4 linked regions of the Arabidopsis thaliana genome follow. The protein of the gene in region 2 purifies or fractionates together with the protein of the main gene of each other region. This does not show direct contact. Each region holds a gene or a part of one and is shown on either strand. Other genes may lie near its edges. The genes, in order: AP19, AT1G23935, AT4G35410 and HAP13.

Region 1 (7,797 bases), on a different chromosome or scaffold from region 2:
GAAATATTCTTTAAGGAAACAATATGGATTTAAAATTAGGAATATAATTATCAGCTTTACATTATTTTCCAAATAATGCTTAATTTATTTATATTACTTTTTGTAAAATCGTATATTTAGTTTTACAGTTAAAACTCTCACTCAAAATAACAAATTTTAAATTAAGTTTTTGTATACATATGACATATGACACACTAAACACTAAAAATAAATTTAAAAGACTGTTCAGAATTTATTTGAAAGAACTATTTTGAAATTTTTACAAACTCTTTTTATTTTGTTGGTTTGATTAAATTATAACATTGTATACATATTTTTAATTAACCAGGAGAATTCTATGCCGAAACCTAGACTAATATTGGAATCCACATAAATCCGGGAATTTTTGCCACTAAAAACGTCTAAGGTGGACCAAATTCCGAGGTGCAAGATATGATTTTGTATATCCATTTTAGAAAATTAAGATGTCTTTAAAAAAAAAAATTGTGTTGATGATTTTACTATTGTTAAATTGAAGTAACCTCAATTTTGAGTTTTTTTTTACTGTTTTTTCAATAATACTTTCAAGAGAGAAAACAAAAGAAACAGCAAAGAGCCAAAGATGATTTGAGGTCCAAGTTTTATCATCTTTGCTGTTCTTGAGTTCACTTTTGCATTTCATTCTATCGACTTCCATTCTGCACATTACTTATGTACAAATCTCATCTATTAGTATCGTTATCCTCTATGGGCTTTCTACTCTTCATTCTAATTTACGGTTGGCATGTTAAAAATCTCCAAATTATCTTATCACCGATTTGATTAAACAGTCTATTCCTTCTCGAATATAACAGTTTAAGGGTTTTTTCTTTGTGATTGCAACACTAAAGCCCTGTGGCACACAAAGAAGGACAAAAAAGACTTTAAGAGCCAAAAGAAAAAACCAATTCAAGAAGAAAATAATTCATTACAAAACCATAATAAACATCCATTTTCTCCATCTTTTTTTTCCAGATTTAATGATGAAAACCCCCACAGAAGACAAGGTTGCAATCAGACTCTGTGACACTATTACATGACAGAGAAGAAACATATCCTTCAAGAGTCAAAGCAGCTCAGAGGAAAGCGTCCTTCTCAAGTAGTTTCACCACATCTAGCTGATTGTTTAGCCTGGCCACATCAATGGGATTTTTATTGTCCATGTTTTGCTGAGTTCTGCAAACAGAAAATGAAACGACACTTAAAAGAGTCTTATATAACCATTACTAAGTTGTTTGGAAATCGAATTTGTGTTCTTGTTGTTGCAAACTTACACTGCAGCACCATTCTCTAGGAGGAGGCTTACACACTCTTTCCTTCCATAACCAGCAGCATAGTGCAATGGTGTGTTCTTGTTTTTGTCAATCGCATTTGCATTTGCTCCAGCATCCAGAAGAACCTGAGCACATCTCACCTACATACAAACTCAACCTAGGTCAGCTGGGTTCAAACTTCGGATTAAGCTTTTATAACAACTTCTAATTGCAGATGTAATAATGGCAACTGTCAATTTCCTTTGTAAAGAATGCTACAGATAATTGTGTAATAATCTACTAAGTGAAACCGAAGCTGCTTATCCATCAAGTGCATGATGCTAGTAAATATTGGTAGTATATACTGCCTTCCATGATTCTGTGATAGTGACATTTCGACAGTTTTTTTTGTTAAGGCTTGTTGAGACGTTGACATACCTCGCCGTATCCACATGCAAAATGCAAAGCAGTCCTTCCTTCAGAGTCTTCTTCATCTTTGTTCCCACCAGATGCCAAGGCAGCTTTCAAACCCTGGTTGGTTCAGGAAATCAATGCACAGAGAGTTTATGAGCTAACCTCGATCAATGATTCCGACTTAAGTATAAAATATAGACCGTCAGAAACACGAGAGACTAACAGTGTATGAATCAGTTTACCTCGACATCACCAAGACTAGCGGTCTGGTGAACAATAGACTCTTCCTCTTCCCCTTCTTCGGCCTCTTCAGGTTCAGCTGCAACAGTCTGGTCTGCTCCAACAGCTATACCCATTGCTTCACCCAGCTTTGCCAACACATCTTTATCATTCCAGTACCTAACACCAGTAATCAACTATTAGCCATGAACACAAGTAAACCTAATAATTTATAGCAAATAATGGCATGCTTACTTCATCATAGCAGAAGGACCACCAGCATCAATCTCAGCTAGTATAGGTTTCAATTCAGGATCTTCTTTCATTTGCGCCATACGCTCTGCAAACTGCTCTGATGCTGCAGGGTTACCAAGAGCCTCCAAAAAGGGAGACATTTGTGGATCCTAAACACCAAACAGAGATTCAATGTCATGATCACACCTCAAGTATTGACTAACTAATAATAACAAGAAGATCCGAAAGAGCTTGTATTAAAGGTACCTGCACCAAAGCGTTACCAAGACGCTCAGCCATTGTTCTAAACTCAGGATTCTCCATAACCTGCTGCATTGTCTGCATATACTGTTGTGGATCAAAGTTAGGTAGACCTCCTTCATGAGATCCGGTTGGCACAGATCTCTGAAGCTGCTCAGCTAACTGGTTAAATGAAGGATCTTTAGCTATTTGCTCAGCCAATTCCTTGATACTTGGATCCTGAATAAACAAACCAATCAAACACAAGAAAAAATCCAACCTTTGACTATTCAATGATCATACACCCACAAAAGAGAACTTACATTGAGGATCCCAGCCATGCCGGAGAAATCAAAAGCATTGAAATCAAGCCCAGGATCAGTCGGTGAAGGTGAAGGTGGAGCTCCTGAGCCTGATTCTGGTTTAGTAGTACTCTTACTCTCTTCCTTGGTATCGTTTTTCTCATCTGTTGAAAACAATTTCTCTATATTACTCGAAGAAACAACAACCAAATCGATTCTAAAACTAAAATCGAGATTAACATATATACCTGAAGGAATAAGAGGTGTTTTCTCTGAGCTTGAAGCCATCGGAAAATTACTAAAACCCTAGAAAAAACCAGAAAAAAAATTACAGAGATATATTCAGAAATCGAATCAAGGAAGATCTCTCAGATTGGAATTGAAACGTGATCAGAAAAAATCCAAAAGTATGGTGAAGACGATCGATACCTATCGAAGCTTGAGGAGCTGAAGAACCAAAAATTATGAAAACCCCCAAATGAAAATGTTTTTGTGGCAAAGAAAACGGATATTCTTTCCCTCATTTTTAATTTCAATAATTAAAAAAAATTATATATGGAAAGATGAATTATTATCATTACTATAAATTATTGGATTGGTAAGAACAAGACGCAGTCACGTTTAAGTTTGGGTATACAAGTTTCGAGTCCTTGAGCCCAAGCCCATAAGTGTCTGTTTCTTCTCCACTATTTTTGGTGTTACCATCAAACATTCTTCATGTATTTGAAATCCTATAGATTATTTTGGTGAAACAAGTACTAAGGAGCAAACAGGGCAAAGTGAGAAAAGGGACATTGGCGTTGCTTTTGTGAGGAGAAAGGATAACTCTTCGAGCGGATACCTCCTCTCATGGCGGATCACGGTTACACAAAATGAGGTTAGGTCGCCCGAATTACAAAATTAGGCACGTTGAAGAAGAAAGAACGAGACACTGGCATGTTGTTTGGTGCATCAGTCCTCAGGCTCAAAAACCAATTCTATTCAATCAATCGGACAAATTATAATTTCGAGATGATGAACTTGATGAAATTTCAGCATTCCACGTTTTAAAACGTAACATATGTGAAAAAATAGTATACCATTTATGATTTCGCAGATCAATCACTACTTTTAAACCCAAAACGATGAATGCTTCTTTCTTCTAATCAATCAAACAATCACATGACATGACAAACAAAAGTGTGATTCAGAAGAGAATATCTCAGAGTTTAAGGAAAATATTAACTCATTTACGATTGTTTCAGCTGCATAAGAAAAGTTCAGAAAAGGACTACTTGGTAGCCTGAGCAATTATATTACTTATGGAACTCGCCTCCTCTTTCGCAACTTCCACCAATTGATCCTTCAAATATTATAACACAACATCATTTACACAACCCTTACGGACTAATCGTTTTTGTCTCAGTGGGCATTAGGATTAAGAAACCATACCTGGGCTGATATTATCCTTGCAACTGTTTTCTTGCTTGACTCTTGAAGTTCTCCGGCGATCAACAGCTCATCGAGTATATAATACGCCTAGAACAAAACAACCAGATTCGAAAATTGTCATATTGAAGTAAAATACAGAGAGTAGAGAATCATTGATAGAGTTGAGTATGTATACCTTGTGGAAGTTAAAAATCAAATCGAGTTCACACACCTGAAGATCATAGAATAAACAGCTCTTAATCAAAATCTAGATGTTTTGTAAGGTTATGATAGAGTGGTAGGAGTATATTTTGGATAAGCGTTTACTCACACTGCCAAAGTAGCGGTCAAGAATCTCGACGTAGTGATGAATTATCTCCAGTACCTCTAACTCGTTATCCGCCTCATCAATGCACATGCAGAAGTACAAGCTTGCATATCTGCAAAATTACAAAACCATCATGTTTATAACCATTGTTTTTAAAGTAGCAAATACATGCTACTTATATAAAATATGTCTATTACCTTTTGTAGACAACCTTGTATCCTCTCCATTCAATAAAATTGCAGAGCTTGGGACCTCGGTTCAGAATCACTCCACTGAGTTCACGTATGACCTGTCCAGATCATTTTTCCAAATGTAAGATTAAATAGGCATGCAAAGCATAATGCGGCATTAACTCAATAACACTTAAGCTGTACATACCTTAGATCTTTCCTTCTGCGTATACGGCGAATACCACTTGGTGAGCCTTACTTTCCCTTGTCGACTGACTAGTAACACGAAATGTATCTGAAAATACAAACATAACCCAAAACAGCCACCTTAGAAGTTTTTTTTTTTCTTTTCAAGAAAGCATTATTCTATCATTGTGAATGGCAATACATAACACATTAATTAGTTTTTGACGTCTCCTCACCCATATCAAGCATGAGAAAATTCTAGAATCACAAAGACAGCATCGAGATAAAGAGAATTAAAACAAGACCAGACAAAACCAGTAGTATATATCACGATTTCTGGCAACTCATAAAGATTTGAAATGCACATAATTGCATAAGGCAAGCAAAAGAGGGAATTGTGAGAGATCAAGTACCAGAACTTGAGAATCATTTACCATCATACACCTAAACGCAAGCCACAAGCATCTCAAGAAAAGTTTTTAAACCATTTAAAGATATGGAAAGATGGAGAGATCAACGAGCTTATTTTGCCAATTCAGAAACAGAGGCAAATAAAGAGATGTGAGGTACATGAACTAGCTTAGACCCTATTACATTTGAATCCAAGAAGCTTAATTACTTCAAGAGCAATAGTGGTTCAAAAACAATGAATTGGATTTAATAACTCACAAGAGATTCGAATGGGCAACAGAAACATAACAATTTCAAGCTTCACGAAACAAACTAATCCTTTCACTTCCTAAATAATCGATCAATTCGTAAGCGAGAAAAGAACCGGACAGATCCAAGCAGAAATCTACGGATACCGGAGGATTAGATTCAATTTCATCATCAAATCAAATCGTAGATACTCGATGCAATAGTACAAGATCGAAGGCAGATCCAAAATTCGAACAGATAACAGAGAAGCCCAAAAGCAAAGGGAGTGGCGATTGTTACCATTTTTAGCCGATTGAAGGAAAATCTTTAACAGTGAAGCTCGATTCCCAGAAGAGATCTCCAGAAGCTGATGATCGTGGAAAGTATTCTTCTGTGTCCGATACACATATAAGTTTGTTGGATACGGATCTTGTCCCGGGTCGGAGTTTTTTTTTTTTGAGGGACCCGGGTCGGACTCTTTAAAAATTTACTTTTTATTTATTTTTCTTCAGTTGGTTTTGTATTTACTGGGGTAGTGTTTTAAATCTGGACCGTTAAACAAACAAGATGAGGACTGATCTGACGGTCCGACTTAATCGGATTGCATTTTTACAGATTAAAAATTGCAACAAAATCACAACTTTTTATTAAAAGGTTTAGGCAATTTTTCAAAATGAGATATTATTGTTGTAAAAGTTAGAACAAAGGAGGAAACAAAATATCAACAATTGATGTGCAACCTGAAAATATTGAGAGTAAATTATAACTTGTATGAGCCTCAGCGTCACTATGCATGCATAATAATTTACATTTTTACGTCTATATAAATGATCAAATTTGTCGTAACATAAAATTCATTACTTCAATTGTAAGAGAAGTAATCAGAAATCAATAATAATAAAACTCTTACTCTCTTTGGTTTAAAATCAATAATGATTGTTGGTTTAGCTCTCTGCACAGTCTCTACTGCTTACTTTCTAAGATATCATCAAAGACCCATACACACACATGCCATGAGGAGAGACTTCATTGCCTCAAATGCTTCATTTGTCAAACTACCATATCACTCCTCCATCGTCTGCAATATTCACAACTACATTTCTACATTTATTAGTAGTACCTAACTCTGTCACGTACATAATCATCACAAAGCAAACACTGCCACAATAATCTATTCAATGTTAGAAAAAAAAATCATGGCTTTAAAGCTTAAACCGCAATTTAATTACACATTTTGATGCTAAGCTATGATATTAATATAAGCCATAAAGATGGAAGGACAAAAGACTTTACATAAATTAAGAAAATTTGGAGACTTAGTACAAAATAGATAGAAAAGAAAAGAGATCGATGAAGAAGAAATCAAATGAAGTTAGAATTACATCAAATCTAATTATGGGTTTTTGTTGTTTTATTATTATCCGTCTCATCGTGCTCCAAACATCACCTGTTGACTTGAGACGAAGGGCCAATGTCTCTGCTGGATCTGTTGTATTTCATGTGACTCTTCACAAGCTGTCCAGCTGCAATAGCAGACATTAGTGAAAGCTCTCCTGCAAGAACCGAACCAGCCACTATTCTTGCCAATTGCTGTGCGTTCGAGCCAGGTTTCTCGTTGTTTGATCCTTTCACACCGAGTAGATTCAAACAAGCTGCTTGTGATGCAAGTTGTGTCCCACCTCCAACAGTACCAACCTGGAGTCACATCAATAAACAAAACATTCATGAGTTGGATCCAACAATAATTCAAAAAACTAACGGCTTTGTGTTCTCTGCAATAATGGGTTTAATTTCAAGATAGAACATGCATTATACCTCAATGCAAGGCATTGAAACAGAGATGTGAAGGTCGTCACCATCGGGAAGAATCATGGTCATACAGTGTGAGCTCTCCACGTTTTGAGCTGGGTCTTGGCCAGTGGCGATGAACACAGCGCTGACAATATTGCTTGAATGAGCATTGAACCCACCAAGAGAACCCGCCATGGCTGAACCAACAAGATTCTTGAGCGTGTTAAGCTCTACAAGAGCCTCAACGCTAGTCTTCAACACTTTCTCCACAATCTCAGCCTTAATAAAAGCTTCACATACAACATGCTTACCACGTCCTTCGATCCAGTTTACAGCCGAAGCCTTCTTGTCCGAACAGTAGTTCCCTGAACACCATAACACCAAATTAATCAAAAAGAGTTCAACTTTATTTCGAAAATCGAGACAACACCAAAGAGGGAAAGAAGAGTTTACCAGAGATGCCAATAACATCCATGTCAGGAAACTCGCTCTTTACAAAGTCCAAGACATTCTGAACACCTTTTGAGACCATGTTCATCCCCATAGCATCACCAGTACTACACGCAAACCTCGGATACAGATTCCTCCCAGCA
Region 2 (8,019 bases):
AGAAAGCAACCGTTGTAGAAATACCAAGGAACTAACCAGATTGCGATAATGATGATCCCAAGTAAACACAGAGAAGATCCTGAAAGAAATCTTCATCAAATAGCAAGTCCACAGCAGGTTTCTCAACACCATTTGGAAGGCTAACTGAAAACTGAGCCATTGTTGAAGCTGATGCAGGAAAATGGCCGGCCCTCCTCACATTGAAAGTAGCCTCATCCAGTACCGGCATTCTGTCAACCAGAGAAGACCTGTATGCACACATACCTCTATCATGAGCTTTGAGGGAGAGAGAATATGAAAAACTTACACTAGAAGATAGATGAGGAAGAGAGGCACAAGGGATTCCACCTGATATTTTTATGCCTGTCAACTATAGAATTGTACTCAATAGCTCTCTGCTGCATTCCAAGAAGAAGGCTTCCTTTCTGCTTCACAATTATGTCTTTAATTCTCCTGCCATTGAATTTTAGAGAACTATTTAGTTACCAAAAGAGAGTTGAGGACAGGATGTACATTTACAATAAATTTCTGATCCTTTTTCAGAGTGTAACACGCTAGAGTTTCTGGTAGACAGCCCAATTCATTGTTTATACACTTAGTGCGCATGTTTAGAATTGAAAATGGATGTTAGATGAACGAGTTAAGATAAAAACAGATAGCTCAACGAGATTAAACAAATTTGAGCATACTTTGAAATAGAAGGAAAGCCAGATAACAGCTTCACTAGAGCAACCAATTCCATCACTTTTGTAGTCGAATCTGAGTTATGGCGACTAATGGCATCCCCGGTATCGCCCACTGCATCAGATTCCTTTACCTGCTACTCATGGCAGTTAGTTAGTCATTGCATATCTTTTGAAGCCAACAATAATTCTCAAAAAGCATCTGCATATTAATCATGGAGCAAACGATGAAGTGAGATTGCCACTTTGATGCTTACCATTGTTGGATCTTCAGTACGACTTCTTTTTGGTTTAGGATCTTTAGTAAGACCTCTTTTTGCTTTAGGAATATAATCCTCTTCCTCCTCATTTTCTGAGTCTTTTTCTTCTGATTCTTCACTTTCTGCATCCTTTCTATCATTCTCATCTGCCTCCACCATGTCTACGATGATGAAATTGGTAAGGAGATGCATTGGATGGTCTGAACCTCGTATCCTCTTCCTTTTCAGATCAGATGCACCAACAGGCATGTACTGAACTTCTATGGAAACATAAGCGTATCCATAATCAGCCACCAACGTGCCATTGCTCATTTTGCAAACAGCAACCCATTCTCCATTCATTTTCTTAATCTGCTCTATTACTACGGCGTGATATCCGACGTAAACACTCATTCGTGACATGGGACCTTTGTAAATATACTTTCCTGAAGTCATCATCAGTTGACTGTAATTAAGCAAATCTGCCCCCACTATCTGCTGCTTTTGAAGCGCCTCTACAACATCCTTCCAAGTGTTGATTTTTCGAAATCCTTTAATTTTTCTTCTTTCCATATCAGGTTCATCTGCACTTGGGGGATGATAATCCGTGCAAAGGAAATTGGTGACAACATCCCTTGGAATTCCATGGCTCTGTACGTGGCATAATGCTTTTTCAATTGTACCTCCATAGCAATGATGTACACGACCATGTCTATCAACAAGTATTTTCTTTTCTCCATTTCTATCAAGTATTTCCTCTTCTCCAAGTTTTTCTGGCTCGCAAAAGGCACATAAATACCAAGGACAAAGAGGAAGTGTCTTCCTCTCCCACTTCTGTAACAATCTCTGGTAACTAACTAGATCAGAGCCTGCGTAGGCCCAGCAGAGAAGGTGAAAAAGTTGATCTCTAACCTCACCCGATCTACCCTGTTCCCCAGCCGTCTCTAGGAAACTTAAGTCCTATATATTGTAAATCAAAAACGATTTAGGTAAAATGGAGAAGATATCTGATTATTGATTAAGCTCCCATATAGGAACATATATCCGGTGTAAAAGATTTCGGTAAAATAAGAGTTTTAAAATGTTTACCGATTTTTTCATTTGCCAACCGAGCATAGCGATGTCATCATTGTCATTTAACACACATGCACCATTTTTGTTACGAGAAACTTGATGATATTTTGAATAATCCAGAATACTTTGAACTTGCTTGTCGGTTAGATCGCATATTCCTGTATCATCTAGGTTTAGCTTACAATCCTTTGAAACGGATTCAAGCGCATCAGACCTTATAGGGGCTATCGGGCATGTGCTGTCTCTGAGAAGATAAAAGAAGTAGATGAGTCCTGTGAGAAGACAAAGAGATTTCACCTAGTTGACAATAAATTGGGTTTATACGTATATGAGGTTAACAATGCCTTCCTAGCTTCTTTCCAAGAAAGTTTGACAAAGCCAGACTTTTTTCTCTTCAATAACTGTAACATGTATAGACGGTTAGATACTTAGATTTGTATAAGTAGCTTAAATCAGATTCACAGGATACCTAGATAAAAAGGGAAGAAAAGATGAAAAAGGTATGGCTATGTTTGCAACCTTTCTAATGGCCAGTATGTTATTGCAGCTCCGAAACTCAGTTTTCGTATTTTGCCTCTTTGTTTCATATCTGAACTTCATTTTCATCAGCCAATCATTATTCTTTTCGTATTTCTCAGCTTCCAAAACCTTTTTATCGTCCTTAGCTAAGGTTGTGTCTAGTTTCTTCAATCTTGCCCGAGTTATAGATCTAACACAATCCAATCTGCAACAACATTAATTCTGTATTAATGCAGGATGTTGAAGCAAAATACCGAAAACAAATTTTTATAAGAAGAAAACAGAATATCATAGTAATATAGTTCACAATACCTCAACATAAATTCTTCGTTGCAAAAATCTGTTGCTGCAGCTGGAGCCTATACATTAAACAGAAACACATAAGTTACAAGAAAGACAAAGAGACTTGGCCAAGCAACTAAATGAAGTTAGAAAACAACTAAACAAAGTTATATAACCTTAATGGCTAGGTGATGGAGCACATATAATAAGCACTCAATATATGAGATATTCATGGATTCTCTCTCCATCTTTGTATCGGGTATGCATTTCTGAGAGAAAATGACAACAGTCAATAATAGATAAGTCCATAAATATGTGAAAGATGTTAAACTAGAGAAGTGTATTAATTATGGTCCTTTAAGAGCTCACTTTTAAGAGCTCAATTATCGATGGAAGCATCTGGCCTGCTGCTTGAGCTGTTGTGTCTGACGACATTTCAGCAAGAGATTTGAGAAAATCAAGCTTCCTATGCTCTGTCAGCTAGTGAAAAAAGGATTTGGTATAGATTATGATTATAACAAAATGAGCTCACGTCTGGAGCAATAATAAAGATTTTACTAACAAAAGGACGAAGATAGCCAAGCGACAGTATTATTTACGAACAAAAAGAGTTCCATGCAAGTTGAGGGTAATTAAGAATTGACTTCGTACCCTCAACGCCATTAACTAGTACTCTACTCCTATTATGCCCACTAAGAGATCATGTACAGACAAAATTATTGTCTCAAGTACGTTAACAGAAAATAAAAAATTTAGATATGTTGTACCTTGTCAAAATGATGCAAGATATGGTGACGGTTCATGAACTCAAAATACTTGCTGCTTGGAGCACCTCTCTAATCAAAAGAAGACAGTTCGTAAGATTTATGGTTCTCAAAGCATCTTTTTAACTATTTAACATCCAAAAGTGCTATGCAACAATAAATCTGAGTCCATACCGCAAAGAATGGAACAGCCATTAGCAGGCATGATATAAACCTGTCAACATAATGTGCATCTGAAACCTACAGGGAAAATAATATTTGGTGGACATCAGAAGTAGTTCGGCGGCACAACAATGAAAGCTTCAGAAACCATGACGTTTTGAGTTCAGAAACTAATAGGTTGAGAGCGTCACATGAAATACTCACATCAAATGTATCCAAACCAGCCTTTGTTTCAAAATATTGTGCAAGTCGTTGCAAGTCTGCTTCACTTTCCTTTTGTAGACTCTGCAAACATGGAAAGAAAATCAGACGGAGAGAAATACATACGTAAAGAAACAAAGAAGAACATATGAAATCCAAACCTTTTCTAGTACATCCGATATACGTCTTTTCGTTAAATTGCTTTTGTATAATGCCAATTCAATAAAAATTGGCAGTTTATTCTTCAAATCGGGCACCTACATGAGTACATATTATTAAAATTTTCAATTTATTTAGCAGAACATTTTGTACCAAGTTAAACAGAGAGCTAGCCTAAAAATAGAGAAAATAAAACAAAACAAAAAAAGATAAAGAAAAGACTCTGACCTTGAAATTAGCAAGATGGTTCAACATTGCAGTCAAAGATGCTACACCAAGAAAGTAAGAAAGGAGACATAAGTAGATGCTATGATGCTCACCCTTTCATACAATTCAGACAATGAAGATGAATGCAGAAGAAATCAAATTACCTTCTTTATCAACATGAACCATCGCCATAAAAACCTCTTGCACGGCATCACACTCCACCGGTTTCTCTATTTTGATCATATGAGTTAAATTGTGAAAGCAGAATAAGTAAATTAAGGATAAACAACCAAAATAACCAAAGTACCAGTATTTAGATATTCGACAAGAACATCAATAATCTTAGATATAAGCTCAGGTTGATGTTTGCATATCAGCTCAATGTCGCAGATAGATATAACCTACAAACAAAAGCTACATAATCTTAGATAAATCCATTTAACAATATAAAAAAATAGACTTACGCATTGTGCTCTAAATAGGAAAAAATGATTCTAAAACAGATGGAAACAAACACAGAGAATCGCAAAGAGCACACCTCAGATTTTCCCAAGAGTTTTTTGAGCTCAAGATTGTTGAGAAGTTTGTTCATTTCCGGGTTTGACATGACTGAAAGTTGAAGTTTTTTGCTGCCGGCTTTTGTATCTTCTCCGGTGAACCGCTTTTAGCAACAGATTTTCTCACTCTCCATCTCACTTTAAATGTACCTTCGCTAGCTCTCTTTCTGTCTTTCTCACCGCCTGGAACCGAGAGCTCACCTCTTATGCCACTATTGGAAAAGAAATAATCACTCGTGCCATTCTTATGTTTAAAATAATATTATTAATTTTTATTAAAATCGAAAAATGACGAAATGACGAAAAACCCAGGCGAAACCACGAAAACTTAATTTGTTGGGCTCGGGCCCAAAGAAAAATGTAAATACTCGGCCCAGTTGTATTATTTACCCTAACTACAGAAAAAACCTAAGTAAAAACTTAATTCTTCCCCCTTTTCACTTCTCGACTTCTTCCTCTTCTCTCCGTCGTCGTCTTCTCTCGTCTCCGACGACACCACCAATTTCAGTTCGTCTTTGTCTCTTTCATATGGCTAGAGTAAAAGACTCATCTGGAGAATATGAATCAACTAGGGTTGAAGCGACCGGCGAAATTTCTACAACAGAAGAGGAAGCCGGAGAAATTCAGCCTACAACCGGCGATTGTGACGCCGCCGATTTGGGTAATTCAAACGCCGTCGCATGGGAATCAAATGACGATCTTTCAGACCCAAATGCCGATTCTTGTGCAGAAGAAGAAGAGGCAACGAATGCAGTTGTTCAACATGATGATGGAGCAAATAAGGTATGATAGAAGACCGTTATTTTTTTGATTAGGCTCGTTTTAGGATATTATGCATGCATTGGTAAATGATTGGATTTGTGAATGGTGCTTCAGATAAAACAAGTAGTACAACTAGGTCGTAAATTTGTGAATGGTCATTCAGGAACAAGTAGTACAACTAGGTAGTTAATGTGAAATTGAAAGTATTTTGAATTGAATATGCAGGATGATGGTGATGATGATAACCTGCCGCAGAATATGCAGGATGGTGATGATGATCTTCAGCCGCAGAATATGCAGGATGATGATGATGATGATGATGATGATGATAATCAACCATTGCCGCCAGAAGTTATGTACTTTGATCCAACTACCTACACGAAGGTGTGTAAGATAGGAACGAGGTGTCAGTTGGTACAAACAGTGGAATTTATAGAGACTTTGGATGCAGAACTGAAGTGGTTTAGGAATCATGACCAATTTAAGCACATATTCCACATGCCTAAGGAGCCCAATCACATGATTCAAGGCATGTGGATGCTTATGGTTCGCACGGCTAAGACAGAATTGGCGAGAGAGTGTTGGTTTGTTGTCAATGGAGTACCTATAAGGTACTCAATTAGAGAGCATGCATTGTTGACCGGTTTGAACTGCCGTGAGTACCCAAAAAACTATAAGACTTTAGGCAGTTTGAAGTTTGTTGAGAAGTTGTTTAAGAGGACTGAGGACATCAAGATTAAAGACGTGGAAGAGAAGCTGGAAGAGTTTAAGAGTGAGAAGTCTACTGCTAGGTTGAAGTTGACAATTCTGTTATTCTTAGCTAAGGTTATGAAAGCTGATTCTAAAGGGGATTCGAAGATAGAGGAGTTGCTTCTTAGGATTGTGGATAATGTCAGAGCTTGTGAGACATTCCCGTGGGGACGTTTTTCTTTTGAGCAGTGTATGGAAGGGGTGCGGAGAGTAATGAAGAACATGATAGGTGTGGTGAAACCCAAGGCACAAACTGCTTTTTATGGATTTATTACTCCACTTGAGGTAAGTAGTCGAGTAAATTATATGAGTGGCTAGATTTTGTTATTGTGAACTTGCATTTACTTTTATGTTTTTGTGTCTAGATTCTGGCATTTGAGTGCATTCCGCAGCTTGGGAAGAGATTTAGAGAAGCTGTACCTGCAGACAAGGAATGTCCAAGAATGTGCAAGCACAAGTTCAGTGAAAGTTGCATGAAGGGATTTACTTTGGAAGAAATAAATGAAGCACTTGGAGATATAACGGTTAGCTTTGTTCTCTTGAAATCTATGTTTATAATCTTTGTGGTGTTTGAAATATATGTTTACTTGACAGGATATTTCAAGCATCTTGGAACCTGATATGGATGAGAGAAAAATGTTGTCACGCGTTGTAGAGAAGCATGTTGATGATGGTATTGGATATATCGATCCGATTGTTGATAGTTGGAGAGAGAGGCTTATCGTAGAGAAAAAGAAGATTTTCTGGCGTAGTCTCTACCAAGCAGACATTGATGGTAGACGTATTGAAACTGTTGATGATGTTCCAGCTGTACCTGAACCTGAAATCCCTGGAACATCGATTCTCTCGTTCAAGGAAGCTATGGAGAGAGGATTTGACAAGCTCACGGACAAGCTTGCTGTGATGGATAGCGAAATCAAGCGGATTTGTGTGAGAGTACAAGGAATAGAGGAATATGTGGCAGATCAGCTTGAGAAAGAGGCAGAAAAAGACAAATATGAAGATATGCGTCCTGGTTCAGCTGCTGATTTTGTGCCACCGTCTTATCAGCCAAGGGATACTCAGAGCAAGGCCTTGGTTATTCACAGTGGAATCCGTGACCCAGCACCTCCAACTATTGAGTCTCTAAGTGAGTTTTTGTTGAACTTTTGTGTAGTGATGCTTTCACAATAGTTCTTAGATGTTTGGTTACATATTTTTGTAGGTGATGGCAGCGATGAGTCCGATGAAGAGGATAAGAAGAAGAAGAAGAAGAAGCAGATATCGAAGAAGAAGAGAAAGCATGTTGGTCCTACTCTGGAATCTGGGGAAAAACGTGGAAGGAAACCTTCCAAGTATAAGGGGGAAGAGTTTACAACTGAGGGGAAGCAAACGAGGAAGAGACAGAAGAAGTAGGACTTTGAAAATTCTTTCTTGCTTATGTGTGTGTGTGGACTATTAGGTGTCTGTCAAAATAGGACTTTCTTTTTGTGTATTTGAGAATGTTATGCGTAGTTTATGTGTAGAGGACAAACTTATTTTCTGAAATGGTTTATGTGTTTTAGGATTTTATTAAAATCAAAACGTTTAGCTAAGTTGTCCCGGTTGGCCGGTCAATACACAACTTAAAATACAAGAGTAGCTAAGTTGTCCCAGTTGGTCGGTCAATACACAACTTAAA
Region 3 (7,071 bases), on a different chromosome or scaffold from region 2:
GCATGGACAAATGGGGTATGTTCATATCGATGACGTTGCACGAACCCACATAGTCGTTTTCGAACACGAAGCAGCTCAAGGCAGATACATTTGTAGCTCTAACGTTATCAGTCTAGAGGAACTCGTTTCATTCCTATCTGCTCGTTACCCATCACTCCCTATCCCCAAGAGGTTTGACACTGACCCTTTAAACTAAACCATCTCTCAAACCTTGTAAAATTTTAAAATCATAGATCATGATGATACTCTGTTTGAAAATTTCAGGTTTGAGAAACTAAATAGGTTGCATTACGACTTTGACACCTCGAAGATACAGAGTCTCGGGCTCAAGTTCAAGTCCCTTGAAGAGATGTTCGATGACTGCATTGCCTCATTAGTCGAGCAAGGCTATTTATCTACTGTTCTTCCATAACTCTTGGACTAGAGAATATGTGCAAATAAGATTGGTCTGAAATAGTAGTCATGTGGATTCACAATGAAAGAATGGGATTGGAAAACATGAAATCAAAGATTACAAACGATATAATCTTTACTTGTTTATGAACCAAATCATAACATATTTCTTCTCTCCAAGTTACGCTTTAAGACGAAAATCCCTCCGCAAGAAAAATCAAATGGATAAAGATTTCTCAAAACAATTACTGTAGCCAGAGACAGGGAACATACTTTAACTGCATAAGAATGCATAGATGATGAATAAGACTACTTATCGATTAGTAGCCTGAGCGATTATATTACTTATCGAACTGGCCTCCTCTTTTGCAACCTCCACCAGTTGATCCTTTGACAACATAACAGACAGAGACTGTCATTTCTCAAGAAAAAACTACTACACTAATATTTTCATGTCGATGACTTAAACATACAACTCAGTACCTGAGCGGATATAATCCTGGCTACTGTTTTCTTGCTTGACTCTTGAAGCTCCCCAGCAATCAAGAGCTCATCCAATATGTAATATGCCTAAGAAAGCAACAAGAAATCCAGAAACTGTCAGCAAGATATAAAGATGCAGAGGATAGAGAATCAAGTGACGAATGGCAGAGTCCTTGAGTGTTTGCAGCATGCTATTACCTTGTGGAAGTTAAAAATCAAATCGAGTTCACACACCTGAAGGTCATCAGATAAAACAATTCCTTATCATAATTTAGAGGTTCCGTTAAGGTAAGAGATAGTAAAGGTGGAATCTCAGCAGGTGCTGGTTTTTTTGGTACTCACACTTCCAAAATAGCGATCGAGAATCTCAACATAGTGATGAATGATCTCAAGGACCTCTAACTCGTTATCCTCCTGATCAATGCACATGCAGAAGTAGAGACTTGCATATCTTTTGTAAACAACTTTGTATCCTCTCCATTCAACAAAATTGCAGAGCTTTGGACCTCGATTCAGAATCACTCCACTGAGTTCACGTATAACCTATATACATAGCATGTAAGATGAGAGATGTATGCTAAAGCATAACAAGGTGTGAATGAAGCTCAATACATACCTTAGATCTTTCCTTCTGTGCATAAGGAGAATACCATTTGGTGAGCCTTACCTTTCCTTGCCGGCTAACTAGAAGCACAAAATGTATCTGAAAACACACAAATCAAAAACACACCATTGGTTTCTTATTAGGATCATCAACTCACCAGCTTAAGAAAGAGTCCAACAAACAAAGGTTTCAAATTTGAAGCCATTGAACTGAACTAGGAGGATCGAAACTACGAAAAATCAAACCCAGAAGCTAGCATTATCAAACTAAAGTCACCAAATTTTCTATCTGCAAAGAATAATTTGAAGAGAAATATCTGAAACCACCGATCAAGAGCAGATCCAAGTATCAAACTAATGAAGAAGAAGCATAAGAACGAATCGGAGATGCGAAATTCAAATCCAGGGCAGCATTCGTAAACACAGAATCGAAGATCGAGCATTGTTACCATGATTTCGTAACTCAAGACGGGACAAATCTGTAGTAGCGAAATCCAGAAACTGATAATCGATGATCCTCAACAAGAAAAAAATTCTCTTTGCTCAAACTGTCAAACATGTCGAGTGCCAGGGGTATAATTGTCATTTACATAATTAAAAACGGATTGCATTCCGGGTCGGATCCATGCAAACGGATTGCATTCTCAGCTAATTTTGTTCCATTATTGCAATTATCTTCTTAATCTTATCGAATAGACCAGGGCATTACACATTAAACGTAGCAATTATGTCAAAAGATTTTGAATGAAAATAATTCTTCAATTAATCTTATAGAATTAGTTTCTTAGGTATCAAATTTTTTAATTGTTCTTATACTTGGTGCTGGGTCAAACAACAGAAAAGTATAAGCAATTTTTTTATAACTAAGAATGAAAATATAAAATGCAAATGTAAAGGTAAGTCCATAATCAAAATAGACATAAACAACAGTTTTGATAAGACCCAACAGAAATAACTCCTGACTAACGTGAGCAGCGACTAATGGACACAATTGTGAAGTTATGAACATACTTAATCTCTCACATAAGCTTGTTTTTATTTAACCTTGGAGGGAAGGCATATTCTCTTGCATGCAGGCTTTATTTTTATTTTCTTTGATTTTTGTTTTTCTCAAGTTTCAATGTGTTTTGAAGTTGACATCATCATAGATATTAGGGTTTTAGTTGTTCTCCCAAAATATTCTTTCCCTTCTCTGCGAGACAGTGGAAGTTCAGTTTTATCACAAATTAGAACATGTTTATATGACAATAATCGGAAGATTTAGTTAGAGCCTTAATGTGTGAACATCAATTTACGAATATAATTAAAGTCCATTTTCTCCGTATTACTCACCTAATAATTAGGGGGGAAATGTTATTTAATACCTGAACTTACAAAAAATGGCCAAATTAACCGTGAATTCGTGAAATGGCCGTTTTATCTCTCAACAAAAAGTTGACTTCTATTTTAACCTTTAAGTTTGCGTTGACTCGGTTTAATAAACCACCGTTAAAAATCCTTCTAACAGCGTAATTAACAGCCGTTACAGAACATCCGTTAAGGTGATACGATGACGTTTTGTGCTATCAACAGACTTCAAAGTCGACGAAACCTCTGAAAAATCTCCAAATCAAAACCCAAATCCTAAAAATCATTCTCTCTCAAATTCGATCTGCTTCTCCTTCCGGCGTTGTTTTAGCTGCATCTTGTGCTCCCTCTTCTCCGCCACAAGACTCAGATACCACATTCGTTTCACCCCCAACTTCTTCTCCAATTTCATCTCTTTCTCCTCGCGGTGGTGCTTCGACTCCATCTCCCACCAAATTCTCTGATTCGTGAAGCATTGGAGATCCAATCCTCATAACGACGCCATTCTTTCTAACTAATGGCATTTCAGAAAACGAATTGAAGCAATTAGGGTTTCGATTTTGATTTTGGGGGCAGGATTAGGTTTCGATTTGGGTTTAGGGTAATTGATTTTGTTTTGGGAATTTCTATTCTCGATTTTGATTTCTCTTTAGCACAAAACGTCATCGTATCACCTTAACGGATGTTCTGTAACGGCTGTTAATTACGCTGTTAGAAGAATTTTTAACGGTGGTTTATTAGCCCGAGTCAACGCAAACTTAAAAGTTAAAATAGAAGTCAACTTTTTGTTGAGAGATAAAACGGCCATTTCACGAGTTCACGGTTAATTTGGCCATTTTTTGTAAGTTTAGGTATTAAATAACATTTTTCCCTAATAATAACATTTTTCACGATTAATATGGTCGATTTGACATTTTTCTGTAAGTTTAGATATTAAATCACAAATTAATACTATTTTTTTTTTATGAAACTTACCAATTCTATTCATAAAAACAAACAGAAAAAGGAAATTTAAGCGTTCGTTTTCTTTTTTCACACACCAAGTTTTAAGAGAAACAAAAAATAAATAAATAAAACCTAATATTCGCATTTCGCAACCGCTATAGCTAGTAGCCTAGTAGTTTGAGGTCAAACACGCAAACGCAACAAAAGGTGTCACCAAAACGCTAAAACTCTAAAACGCGGGTCTAGTCGCACCGCCACCACCTCCTCCGCTACCGCCGCTCATACCGTAAATATCTCCCCCGGAGAATTGAAAATTGTTCATATTCATTCCAAGATTGTAGAAAGCAACACCTCCTCCACCATTTCCACCTTGGAGGTTTGACTCACACGCCTGGGCCCCACTCCCCGTAACCTCCGACGACTGAGACGCCTCCGGCTGCTGCTGCTGCACCCCGGTGGTTCTCGGCGGTGGGGTTTCTTCCTCTTCAATCGGTAACCTATCATAAACTGCGTTTGCAAAAGAAGCAGCCATCAACACTACCGGTCCCGAAGCAATTAACGAACCAGCCACATTCCCTCCTACAACTTGTCCTTGACCTCCGGCTAGATACACCGTCAAACCTCCTGCTCCCGGTGGTGCAGGCGGTGGAAGCGCAGTACCGGTCAAAGACAAAATGTCAAACCGACCATGCAGGGTAATCACACCTCCACCAGCCGGAGCCGCAGGTTGCCGTATCGTGACGTTAGTGACCGCACCCGTGCCGCTTATAATGCAAACGCCGCAGCCGCGACGAGTGGCGTAGGTGGAGACTGCCTCGGATATGTCCGAACCGGAGGTGACTTCAAGAACGTGTGATCTAAGGACGTTAGGACTATCTCTAGTTATAATCGTCGGAGGTTTGGGTTTGTTTTTGGAACCTGCAGGACGACCACGTGGACGACGTCCGGAGGAAGAGCCAGAGGCTGTGGCTGAGCTGGTGGCTCCACCGGTGGGAGTGGTCTCGGCCTTTGCTTCGTCTGCTTCAGATCTGTTAAGTTCCATGTTATTTTGATCAGGTGGGGTTCTGGAATCTTCAGGTCTCTGTAGATGCAGTTCTTGCCCTAGAAGAGGGTGCATATAACTAGACATTGATAACAAAAACAAGAAACTGTGGTTTGGGTTTTTGGATTTTTTTGGTTATAGCTAGTGAGAGACAAAGACAAAAGTCGACAGAAGTGGTTTGTCACTGAGAGTATTTCAGAGACTGAGTTTGATTATTAATAATGCTACGGACAAAACAAGAAGACGACAAGAGAGAACAAAACCTTACTGAATAATTAGAGAGAGAGAGGTCTACATATGTGAAAGAGCTGGGTCGGTGAAATTTGTCTGGACCCAGATCTAGATCTTCATGTGAAATGGAATGAAACAAAGGAGAGAAAGAAGTAAAGCAAGAGCATCACAAAACACAGCTCTCTTCTAAACTATAATAAGGTACATATAAATATAAATAATACAAATATATTTGTGTATCCATATAATAATATGTTGGGTTGGTGTAGTGACTTTTCCTCGAGTGAAGCAAAAAAACTAAATTAAGATGTTGACGACCTAAGAAGGGACTGATGGATTCTGCGGGAGACAAAAGAAGGATTCTGGAGAAGTAAATCACGGAGATAGAGAAGTTAAAGGAGAGGCCTTTTGTGACGGTGAAGGGATGGTTTTGTGATGGTGATATGATGATTGTAGATTTGTTTTGTTTTCTAATCTTAAAGCAAAAAAAGAAAACAAAGCGAATGTAAATTGTTATTCCAAAGTCAAGTTACGCTGTTTGATTTCAAGAACTATAACCGACCAAACTATCTGTTAGTGTTTTTTGTCGGTAAATAACATAACGATTGTCCTCTTTTTATTTATTTTTAAGTTCAAACTATTACATTTTAGTATTTTTACAAAATTAAGATCGGAAGTTTTAAAATACTAGCATTTGCTCTTACCATGAGTCTATAGATATATAAATCATGTGTGTTTAATTAACATGACAAGAACCAATTGCTGAAAAAAAACTAAAAATAGTTTTGGTCATTCAAGATCTTTTATTAAAGATCAAAACATAGGAGTAGTAGTTATTTTCCCACCTAAAACTTTGATTTTAGACAATGAACTGGAAATAATTTTGTTCTCTCCTAGTTAATCATGCTGATATATAAACTCATATGGATTACTTTCGAATATTTTCTTTTGAGTGGTGATGAAGTGATCGGACGAGTAAAGCTCAAAAAGAATTTGTGTGTGTAATGAGTAGAGGAAGACAATGAATGGGGCTTCATGGCTGTTATTTGTGAAAAGAGTGGTGGATTTCACATTTTCACATGATGAGCACTTTGCTTTCTTCCTATTTCTTTTTTAGTTTAAACTTTTAGATTTCTCGAGCCACTCAAGACATGGCTTGGCTTTTTTTATTTTATAATGTTCTAATATCAAAATTGCTAAAACTTTACAGAGGGGGCGTGTTTTATGTTACAAACAAAGTAAGCTGAATTAATTTTATGCACATGCTTGCCAATAATACTAATTCGATTTCAACGACTAATGGATGGACATGCATCTTAATATGGCTTCTTAGTTTTTGTTACTTAGCGTAAAGACACATTTCAACAGTTCTTAGGGATTTTCACGATGTATTTAATTGGTTTACATAAGAATTTAAAAATTTAACAATTATTTAAACAAAACATTTAAGTTTTTAATAGTACTATAAAAATATAAGTTTTCATATTTTTTTTCAAAAGAAAGTGTTAAAATTTTTAATTATGTATAAACCATATTAAACTTATAAAAAATTTAACACTTATAAAAAAACCTTTAAAGTTTTAATAGTAATAATAAAATATAAGTTTTAAAATATTTTTTAATAAAACAGAAACAAATGTTAAAAATTTTAAAAATGTGTAAGCCACCTAAAACACCTCTGAAAAGTTTTGATGATATATATCCAACTAGTGTAGACAACATTTTAAAATCTAGCATTTATCCAAAAATATTTTAAAACTTTAAAATTTTAAAAATTTAACACTTATTTTTACAAAATTAACACTTACACAAAATTTATTAACACTTATAAAAAAAATCCTTTAAAGTTTTAATAGTAATATAAAAGTATAAGTTTTAAAATATTTTTTATTAAAAGGAAAACAATGGTTAAAAATTTTAATAATGCGTAAACTATATTGAACCTAGAACACCTCTTAGGGGTTTGGATGATGTATCCAATTAGTTTACACAAAATTTAAAATTTTAACTTTTATCCAAAAAAACCT
Region 4 (8,555 bases), about 14 Mb from region 2:
CATTTGTTCCTCATTAACAATGATGAGCATTATATCGTATTCTTGACACTGTTTCTGTCTTGAACCAAAATAAGATCTCCAAAAAAAGGGATTACATTGTGAGAGCTGTCTCAACTGTAAATCCAAGCTAAACCAAAAACAATTCACAAAAACATGAACAAACAGTCTACGGTGAAAGTAAAACAGACCCATACAATTGATTTTGCCGATTCAGAGCCTATTTTTTTATTACCAATAAGAGACAGAGCTGTGAGAATGCAAGTGACCCTATCACGACTAATGATGTCTTTGTCTGAAGTGAATAATGAAGGAGAAAGAGATGGAACAGACCTCACACATCCTGAGATACTTCATCGAGTAGCTTCTTTGTCGCTTCATTAACCTCCACGTTTTCCATCTTCAGGCGCCGTCGCATAGCAGGGTGACTCTTTCCCGCTGCTGCATATGTTCTTATCAATGGTTCAAATATTTCTGCGCCTATGTTGTCTGTTCCATTCTTTAAAATCTCCAACAAATTCTCAGCTCCATTAACATCTTTCTTTTGCTCGAAATAGCTCATCAAAGCTCTGACTGTTTCAGGTGACGGTAGCCACTTGCCACCATCTCCTTTGCCGATGGAGACTGCCTTTGACATGCATTCGAGTGCTCGAGCCATATCACCGCTCTTTACATAGTAATCCATGAAGATCTCCCATGTTTTAGCATTGAGCTTTCCACCTCTTCTGGGAGCTTTCTCCTTGAGCTCATTTGCTTTCTGGATTAGACCCTCTTGAGCATAAGCTCCAATCAACACATTCACAATCCTGATGTCATAAGTAGAACAGTTAGCTTGCCATTCCTTGAACAATGTCTCTGCACCAGGTAAATCATTCAACTTGACCAGCACTTGTATCATGTTTAGATAAGCTACATTTGAGGTTTTCGGAATAGCCAGCCTCAACGAACGCCAAATTCTGTAAACTTCAGTCAGCTTCCCCAGACGTCCATACAAAGTAATAAGAAACTGATATGCCGTAAAATCCCGTTGCGTGTTTTTCATCTCCAGTTCCTGAAGAGCCTTCTCAGCTTTCTGAGACAGTCCAGCATCAACATATATCGATGCCATATTGCTATACGTAGTCCAATCCGGAGCAACTCTACCATCTCTATTCATCTCTTCAATGACTCTCTCAACACCAGAAATATCATTAGTAGCAGCCAAAGCCCTCATCCAGACATTATAAGTGTACGAATCCGGCATCACATTCTCCGCCTTCAATTCTTGAATCATCGCCGGAACTTTCTCAGTCTCACCTGTCTTGGTGTAAAGAGTCATGAGGCTGTTATAAGACATGGAACTAGGAGTAATGTTGAGCTCTTTCATCTTATTCAGCAAACCTTCCGCTTTCTCTGTCAACAACTCCTTGCAGTAACAGTTCAAAAGAGACCCATACGTGAGTTCCGTCTTAGATGTTTCCGGAAGATCAACAAAATAATTCTCCCCAGCAGTAATTTCACGAGCTTTAGCAACAAGATCAAGATGGATTGCTTGATCACTCACTGTCTTGTTCATACCTCTCTCTTCCATAACTTCAGATAGCTACAAACCAAAAAAACAACTCCACAATATGAAATCTAAAGACACAATCATCACACAGTGAAAAAATTATTCAACAATTACTAAATTGTTCATAATGAGCATCAAAATACCACTTAAGAATCTACATTTCTATATGTATTCAACAGATTTGAAGCAAATGCTTATTGTGAAGCTAATCCTAGAGAATCGAAAATGCAATTTGGATTTATGAAACCTTGAGAGCTGGGTAATAGAGGCCGCGATTTCGGAGTTTCTTGATCGTATCGCCGACCTCCCATTTGAAGACGTGTTTAGTGCCTTTGAGGAACTGATTAAGCTGCTGTCGAACTTTGACCTCTGTACCACCATCTTTGAAGAGGCGATTGTACAGAGGTTCTTCGATGTACTTCTTTGTCGATCTCTTTGTAACGTCTCTCGATCGGCTCAAATGTCGCATCGCCATTTTCTCGTCGGAGCAGTAAACAACGACAACGAGAAGGTTTTTTGAGTAAAACCCTAATTCACTGTCACTTCCCAAGCTCGAAACAGAATTGGAGGAGAAAGTATGGTGATTATGGGCTTTTTAATGGGCCTGACGATTATTTCATTTCGGCCCATACTATATCAGTTAAACAATATGAGAAACACCAAAATATACGTTCTCTCTATTGTAAGGCTCTCTCACCTCACTCTATTGAAGCATAATTTGTTTATGTAGTTTCATTTTGATCATAACTCGAGAGAAACCTATGTAAACATAGACGAATGCCCCAAAAAACAAAACCAAAACCTCAACGTTTAACAATTTTGATCGCAGAACGAACACATAGACAGAAATGTAGCAGTCTAAAGGAAAATAATGAACCATGTCGTGAAAGGTTACAGAGAGCCTCATGTAAAATAAAATAGAATCACCATAAAGACAAATTCACAAGAATATGGCTTCTAAAACAAATTAAAGGAAAATTTGATCAGCTAAAATGTTTCAAAACGTTTTCTTTTCCCTCTACTTTTGTCCTGTTTCGTTTTGCTTCTTTGATTCAGGCAATTCCTTGAGGGATGTGGGAATCACAATTGACATAGACGATGAAACTAAATGTGCATTACACGAGTCTTAGTTCGTACTCACCAGCCATGGTTATGTATCTCACCCATGGAAGTGCTTGGTACCCACTCTTCTCAATAATCTTTAGGTACCGAACCTACACACCAAAGAACATATATATTATATATATGACATTGTGGAAGAGACAGTAACCATTTATTATTAAGCACAAGCTTACCTGAATCCCTGAAACAGTGAAATAAGGGATCTCAAATTTGACACGGATAGGAGCCTTTCGCTCAGGAGTTGCTTCCTCTGCAGTGATACTTGGAAGATGGAACTCTGCCCTTAACATGTACTCCTATATTGGTTTTCTGAAGGTTAGCATTGATACTACATAGTCTACATTGCTGACTGTTTCAACTGAATTTAAGAGTTTATTGAACCTTGTTAGTGTTATACCTTGTTCCCCGGGAAAGATTTGATTTTCCAGACTAACGCATCTTTTTCAGGAGCATAAGAGGCAGACCCTAGAGATGTCCTAACGGTGGGGTTAGATGCATCGGTTGGTACAGGCAACTCAATCTCAACGTTCGTTGCGGTGCTACAAAAAGAATGTTCGTGATCAAAGGTTTAAAGAATCTGATCAATCAGGATCTTTGCATGACAGTAAGACAGAAAAGGAAAGTGGCACAAATACCATAGAATATATTTACCTTCGTTCCTTGAACTGACTTCTAGCTTTTATGAGCATCTCAACACGACTTCTTGAATGACTTTCTATTTGTGCTTCCACCCATATAAGTGGCTTTACCTGAACATAAAAGAAACAAATCATGATATTTACTTGTTGAAGACGTGGAACAATTCCAGTAGATGCTATATCCCACATGTCAAACCTGAGTGCTGAGTCTATATGTCATCAGATCAAAAGCCCCATCAGGTGGTATGAAAGATATCGTCCTATCGTTTTCAAAACGGGCCAATCGAACACACCTGCATTAAATAAATGGTTGTTGAAGAAGAGAATACATAAAACTCAAGTATATAATCTTTTTGAACAAAAAGAAAATAGAAGGGTTAAGATCAGTGAAGACTTTCCAAGTTTCAATATAATAAAAACTTAAAGACGTACTGATGAAATTTGATGTCCTCCAAATCAATGGCTTTTCCCTTAGTTGCTCGTCCCTGCGCTTCCAGCAATACTCTATCATTCAGTCCTAACTTACACTCTGGCATTCCACTGCAATAGAATGGATCAAAGAGCAAAATAGTCAAAAAGGGACGTGATTTAACATGCTTTGGCTGATTAGGAACTATATCGTAAATTTGATGTGTTGACATACGTCAAGTAAGTTCGCATCTTCAGCGCTCCAACAACATCAGACCTGACAATTTGCCCATTACTGTTGACAAGAATATTTACATTCTCAATAACATCCAAGAAAACCTGGAAAAAGAAGCAGGTTGTCATTATTTGCAAACCGAAACATCAGAAACATATTCCTATCTTGCGAAAACAATGGCACTCACTTCATTCTTCTTGTACTGTATTCCCTCACTCCTCCAGGAGACAGCATTCGTCACAGCCATTGGAGGTCTCTGTGTAACTTCCATTCTATATGCATCAGTCTTGATGAATTCACTGAGAATTCTTGCTTCGGTATACTGAGGGTAACCAAAGTCCATCATCTCGTCAAGTAGCTCATACTGCCAGCACCAAAAAATCAATTTCAGCATCTAACAATGACAAATACTTTTCCAAAATTTTAAGGATCTTTTTGATTGCCCAAGTAATAGAAAAATATATTGCGAAATAGTACTAAAAGAGCGATGACAGAAGCTTAACATACCACTACCACAAAGTTATCCCTCAATGATTCCTCTTCTAACTCCTCGAAGTAATGCTTGAAAACCTATAACCAGATAACAGATACCATTGCCATTACATCAAATATCCAGGAAAAAGATGGAACCTTAAGAGAAAAACTAAAGAATTGACCAGCCATACTTACATCGACAACGCGGTGAAGAAAGAAGAGAAGACTGGCAGCATTACAATTCTGCCTGGATGCTATCATCAAGTATACATTACTATGTTGTACAAACATATAAGTCACCCCATTATCGTAAGCAACTGGATCATTTGACTGTGAATCACCCTGAACAATTAAACAAAACGATGATTACTCTGATTTAAACCAGAATGCTTCAAAAGTACAGATTCAAATCAAATTCTAATCCAAAACATTTAACCAATGATCAAACTTGTTCATTACTTCCAAAAAATTTCAGCGGCATCAGATCACAAAGACTGATACGAATCCATTATCTTCAAAATTCATTTCCAGTGCAGATGAAAATGGACACGAATCCATTATCTTCGAAATGTTTCAATTCCAATTGACGAATCTTTCAAACACAAATCTACAAGTTCGTTCGCTAACTCTATGTTTCTCTGAAAATTCTACAGTAACCAAGCAATAAACAAAGACCAATTAGCGATAAGAGGAAGATCAGAACAACCTCTTTCTCGATGAGCTTAGTGAAGAATCGCTCGGCTTGAGCAGCGGAGACATCGCCACGATAATCACGCCAGACGAGAACGCGTCCCTTGATATCAAGCAGAAACAGCGCGGAGGCAGCTCCTGCCATGTTCTTCCCTAAGAGTTTCGATCAGATCCAAATGGGGATGATTAATCAGCGAGATCTGATGAAATTATGGTTCTATAGAGGAAGAAGTAGCAACAACATCTAGATGGAGATTGACGCAGATCTGCAGCTCAGATTCTCCATTTCGCAATTTTTTTTTTTTTTCTGGCGATCTGATGATTTCGTTATCGATCCTTGTGGTTGGATTAAAAAAAAAAACGGAAGAATTTAAGAAAATAATAATATTCAGAAGCAAAGAGCTCTGCCTTTCACCCAGACGGTATCGTTTTACTTTTTCCGTCAAATTTAATACCATCGAAAGTAGAAGGAGAGTCAATGAAGAAAGTCATCATTGAAGAAGAAAGGCCCATTGGATCATTACATAAAGTCAGGCCCATATAGGTTGGGTTTCGTAGGTTAAAATTATTAGGTTAACGACGAATTAGTATAAAAATAGGTTTGTAATGAATCAAGGATAGAAGTAAAACCTAAAATCGAACATATGCGTTTTTCACAAAAACTTTAGGGGAATCTAGGGTTTGTGTAGTGTCACCACCATGAAATCGTGAGGACTATCAAGTATAAACTAGAAAACTGTCATGGGGTATGATCGAATGTTTGTGTACTCATTTTTCGTGGATATGAAGATATGCAACATTTGATCATTCTCCATGATAGTATTCTAGTTCGATATATAAAATTTCAATAGAACACTGCAACATGAAGTGTTTTGTATACTTAGCTTGATTGCTAGCATATTTACGTATATTACCTCCTATGTGTTGATGTTCACACGACAACACAATTTCACTGGTACCAATCATTCCAACAAATTATAACTCGGTCTCAGGGATTGTATATTTTGTTGGATTGATTGGTAACATGAAATTTTGAATTTTTGAATTTTTGATGTTACCGGTGTGAGTGTATACTTTGTTGGATTGATTAGTACGATTGCATACTTTGTTGGATTGATTGGTACACAATAAAAGCGTTTGAAAGTAATAGATTTTAAACCTTTCTAAACCATGTAGTGAACTTGAAGCTTATTCAAGCAGTTTATTACTTTCAAACTTGATATTTTGTTACATAGCTAGTTTGGCTCTTAAGTTCTCATCATAAAGATTATGGGATCTTAATGAAGACGTAATAGCCCTTATCTTTTCACATGTTTTGAGTATTTGTCAATTATATATGCGTCCTCTTGTTCTGTGACTATCTTAGTCTTTTATAAATACTATATATATATGCGTCCTCTTGTTCTGTGATTCATAGGACAATGGTAATGCAAGACTCGGAACTTAACTAATATTGTGATCGCCTTATTGATCTTCTCCCTATACCGCTATACGTAGTGAAATTAATAGTTTGTAATGTAGAATGCTAATAAGATAGAAGTGTACTTTTTGGCAAGACACTAATTATAATGACTAATTTATCAAACATAAGAGGAAAAAATCAGAGATATGTTACTTCATAGTTTACAAATGAATCATGGGCAATAAGTCTTGAACTTAACTAATATAGTGTTAGTTACGTTAAGTGATGATGAACTTGTCTTGAAGTACATCATAGTCAACATACGTATTAGAGATAGTTACATTTGGTTTACATTATTGGTTAACTTTATTGGTTTACATTATTGGTTAACTTTAACTAATAATGTAAACCAAATGTAACCATCTCTAATAATACGTACAATTCTATTTATTTTGTACGCTCAAGAAAGACCAGATCAATTAACCGCAATACAAAGATCCGATTGACTATCGCAAAAATGCATATATGACGGGAACACTACATATAGTAGAGACACAAATTCATTATGTGGATATAGACATTATGTTAAAAATTGGAGTCTTTAATCAAACACTAATAATATCGTTTACAAATTTCTAGAGAGTACAAAAAAAAAAAATCTTCTTTATCATATTTTCGCAGTATTAATCTTTGGTATATTTAGATGCAACTTCTACGGTAAGAATTCGTCAACCATTGAAGCAAAGAAGAAGAATGAGATTAAAGAAAAATGGGGTTAAAGTCAAACGTATAATATGGTCAACAAATAGAGACGACATTGACCAAAAAGATTCAAAACTTTGAAACTAGACTCTCATCTCGTTACTTCATTCATTACTTGCACTGAAAAAAATAGTATATAAAAAAGGGTTAGAATATAAAAATTAATCAAAAGTAATAAGTGCAAAATAAATTCATATATCTTAGAGTCACGCGTTTCCTCGGGTTCCCTATTGTTCATTAAAAACCTATTTGAGTCTTTTGAATATTCACTCACTCTAACACACATTCTTCATTTCTTCAATGATCACACACACATTCTTGAGTTTTCCCTCAATTAATTTTAGTAAAATTTGTTTCTAGTTTCTAGAATCCTTGGCTTTAGACTGGTTGTAACATTACAGATATAAAATGTATGAAATGTTTCGATATGAAATGTTATCAATCCGTATTTATAATACATAATTGGTATTTAAGTTACTTCGGGGTCTATACTACTATATATGATAGAGATTAATTATGAAAAAAATGAAGATGGTTCCAGAATTTATGTGCATGAAGGTTTTATTTGCAGTGTCCAAACAAAATACTTGTAGAGAAACCATATTTTAATCACCTAACTTCGACCAATATAAAACGGATTATCGTAATCATTAGTTAGGGCACTTTTTAGTTGACTACGATCGATATCTTTTGCACCACCCTTTAAAAACTATAGCACCTTTCAGTTTGTATGACTAAAACAAAAACTATTGGCATCACCACTAAATTATGTATCAAAAAATAACTTAAGAACGTATATCAAAATAAGTTGTTCCATTTAGGGTACATAATACTGTATTTCTTTCACATTAAACATATGCTTTAAATACCATGATTACATTCTTTATGCTTGAGAAAAGAAACAAAAAAGGATATTCTCTCACATTTAATAAAAGATACAATGTACACTCAATGTCACTATCTCTTCGTTACGTTCTTTTAATGTAACCAAGGAAATAAATACTAAGATACGAATTTTCGAAAAAAAAAATTCGTGGAAAAAATAACTGAACTGAATCGACATCGAACGATCGATTGTCTTGAAGTCACTGTTGACTATAAGACCAATCCCCTTCTCTGAATCACATGTTTCATTCTCTTCACATTCTCTCTCGTTCCAAACAAGTCTTACTTTAACAACAACCTAATCTTTTACTCTTTCATTCTCCATTTCCTTCATTTACATCAAAAAAAATTCTTGTTTCTCTCTTAACTTCATACGATAACTTATGGGATTTT

What was found.
Region 1: the proteins of AT1G23935 (region 2) and AP19 fractionate together in Arabidopsis thaliana (co-fractionation; one large-scale study listed by BioGRID). This does not show direct contact.
Region 3: the proteins of AT1G23935 (region 2) and AT4G35410 fractionate together in Arabidopsis thaliana (co-fractionation; one large-scale study listed by BioGRID). This does not show direct contact.
Region 4: the proteins of AT1G23935 (region 2) and HAP13 fractionate together in Arabidopsis thaliana (co-fractionation; one large-scale study listed by BioGRID). This does not show direct contact.

Annotation. Positions count from the first base shown.
Region 1 is NC_003071.7:7,551,041-7,558,837, reverse strand, and holds AP19 (associated protein 19), read right to left. Parts: upstream 5,847-7,797; 5' UTR 5,717-5,846; coding exon 5,714-5,716; intron 4,884-5,713; coding exon 4,797-4,883; intron 4,708-4,796; coding exon 4,616-4,707; intron 4,531-4,615; coding exon 4,422-4,530; intron 4,323-4,421; coding exon 4,287-4,322; intron 4,199-4,286; coding exon 4,112-4,198; intron 4,023-4,111; coding exon 3,951-4,022; 3' UTR 3,675-3,950; downstream 1-3,674. Other genes in the region: AKR2B (ankyrin repeat-containing 2B), read right to left, coding at 1,095-1,194, 1,293-1,432, 1,710-1,802, 1,928-2,084, 2,160-2,308, 2,406-2,618, 2,702-2,844, 2,929-2,968; HMG2 (3-hydroxy-3-methylglutaryl-CoA reductase 2), read right to left, coding at 6,857-7,108, 7,229-7,569, 7,658-7,797. UniProt on the Arabidopsis thaliana protein: Subunit of clathrin-associated adaptor protein complex 1 that plays a role in protein sorting at the trans-Golgi network and early endosomes (TGN/EE).
Region 2 is NC_003070.9:8,458,817-8,466,835, reverse strand, and holds the start of AT1G23935 (apoptosis inhibitory protein), read right to left. Parts: upstream 5,080-8,019; 5' UTR 4,898-5,079; coding exon 4,829-4,897; intron 4,692-4,828; coding exon 4,598-4,691; intron 4,521-4,597; coding exon 4,455-4,520; intron 4,353-4,454; coding exon 4,312-4,352; intron 4,182-4,311; coding exon 4,086-4,181; intron 4,009-4,085; coding exon 3,928-4,008; intron 3,802-3,927; coding exon 3,736-3,801; intron 3,634-3,735; coding exon 3,565-3,633; intron 3,278-3,564; coding exon 3,167-3,277; intron 3,067-3,166; coding exon 2,974-3,066; intron 2,875-2,973; coding exon 2,828-2,874; intron 2,721-2,827; coding exon 2,516-2,720; intron 2,398-2,515; coding exon 2,321-2,397; intron 2,294-2,320; coding exon of another isoform or gene 2,241-2,293; coding exon 2,012-2,240; intron 1,883-2,011; coding exon 941-1,882; intron 821-940; coding exon of another isoform or gene 818-820; coding exon 690-817; intron 454-689; coding exon 349-453; intron 249-348; coding exon 37-248; intron 1-36.
Region 3 is NC_003075.7:16,827,432-16,834,502, reverse strand, and holds AT4G35410 (Clathrin adaptor complex small chain family protein), read right to left. Parts: upstream 2,165-7,071; 5' UTR 1,932-2,164; coding exon 1,929-1,931; intron 1,580-1,928; coding exon 1,493-1,579; intron 1,420-1,492; coding exon 1,219-1,419; coding exon of another isoform or gene 1,189-1,218; intron 1,111-1,188; coding exon 1,075-1,110; intron 964-1,074; coding exon 877-963; intron 782-876; coding exon 707-781; 3' UTR 501-706; downstream 1-500. Other genes in the region: DRL1 (dihydroflavonol 4-reductase-like1), read left to right, coding at 1-171, 265-412; AGF1 (AT-hook protein of GA feedback 1), read right to left, coding at 4,001-4,900. UniProt on the Arabidopsis thaliana protein: Subunit of clathrin-associated adaptor protein complex 1 that plays a role in protein sorting at the trans-Golgi network and early endosomes (TGN/EE).
Region 4 is NC_003070.9:22,366,628-22,375,182, forward strand, and holds HAP13 (Clathrin adaptor complexes medium subunit family protein), read right to left. Parts: upstream 5,597-8,555; 5' UTR 5,259-5,596; coding exon 5,130-5,258; intron 4,766-5,129; coding exon 4,619-4,765; intron 4,520-4,618; coding exon 4,457-4,519; intron 4,314-4,456; coding exon 4,137-4,313; intron 4,054-4,136; coding exon 3,950-4,053; intron 3,847-3,949; coding exon 3,739-3,846; intron 3,600-3,738; coding exon 3,503-3,599; intron 3,418-3,502; coding exon 3,320-3,417; intron 3,208-3,319; coding exon 3,066-3,207; intron 2,965-3,065; coding exon 2,842-2,964; intron 2,761-2,841; coding exon 2,662-2,760; 3' UTR 2,326-2,661; downstream 1-2,325. Other genes in the region: AT1G60770 (Tetratricopeptide repeat (TPR)-like superfamily protein), read right to left, coding at 332-1,579, 1,794-2,021; AT1G60783 (cyclin-dependent kinase inhibitor SMR2-like protein), read left to right, coding at 8,546-8,555. UniProt on the Arabidopsis thaliana protein: Subunit of clathrin-associated adaptor protein complex 1 that plays a role in protein sorting at the trans-Golgi network and early endosomes (TGN/EE).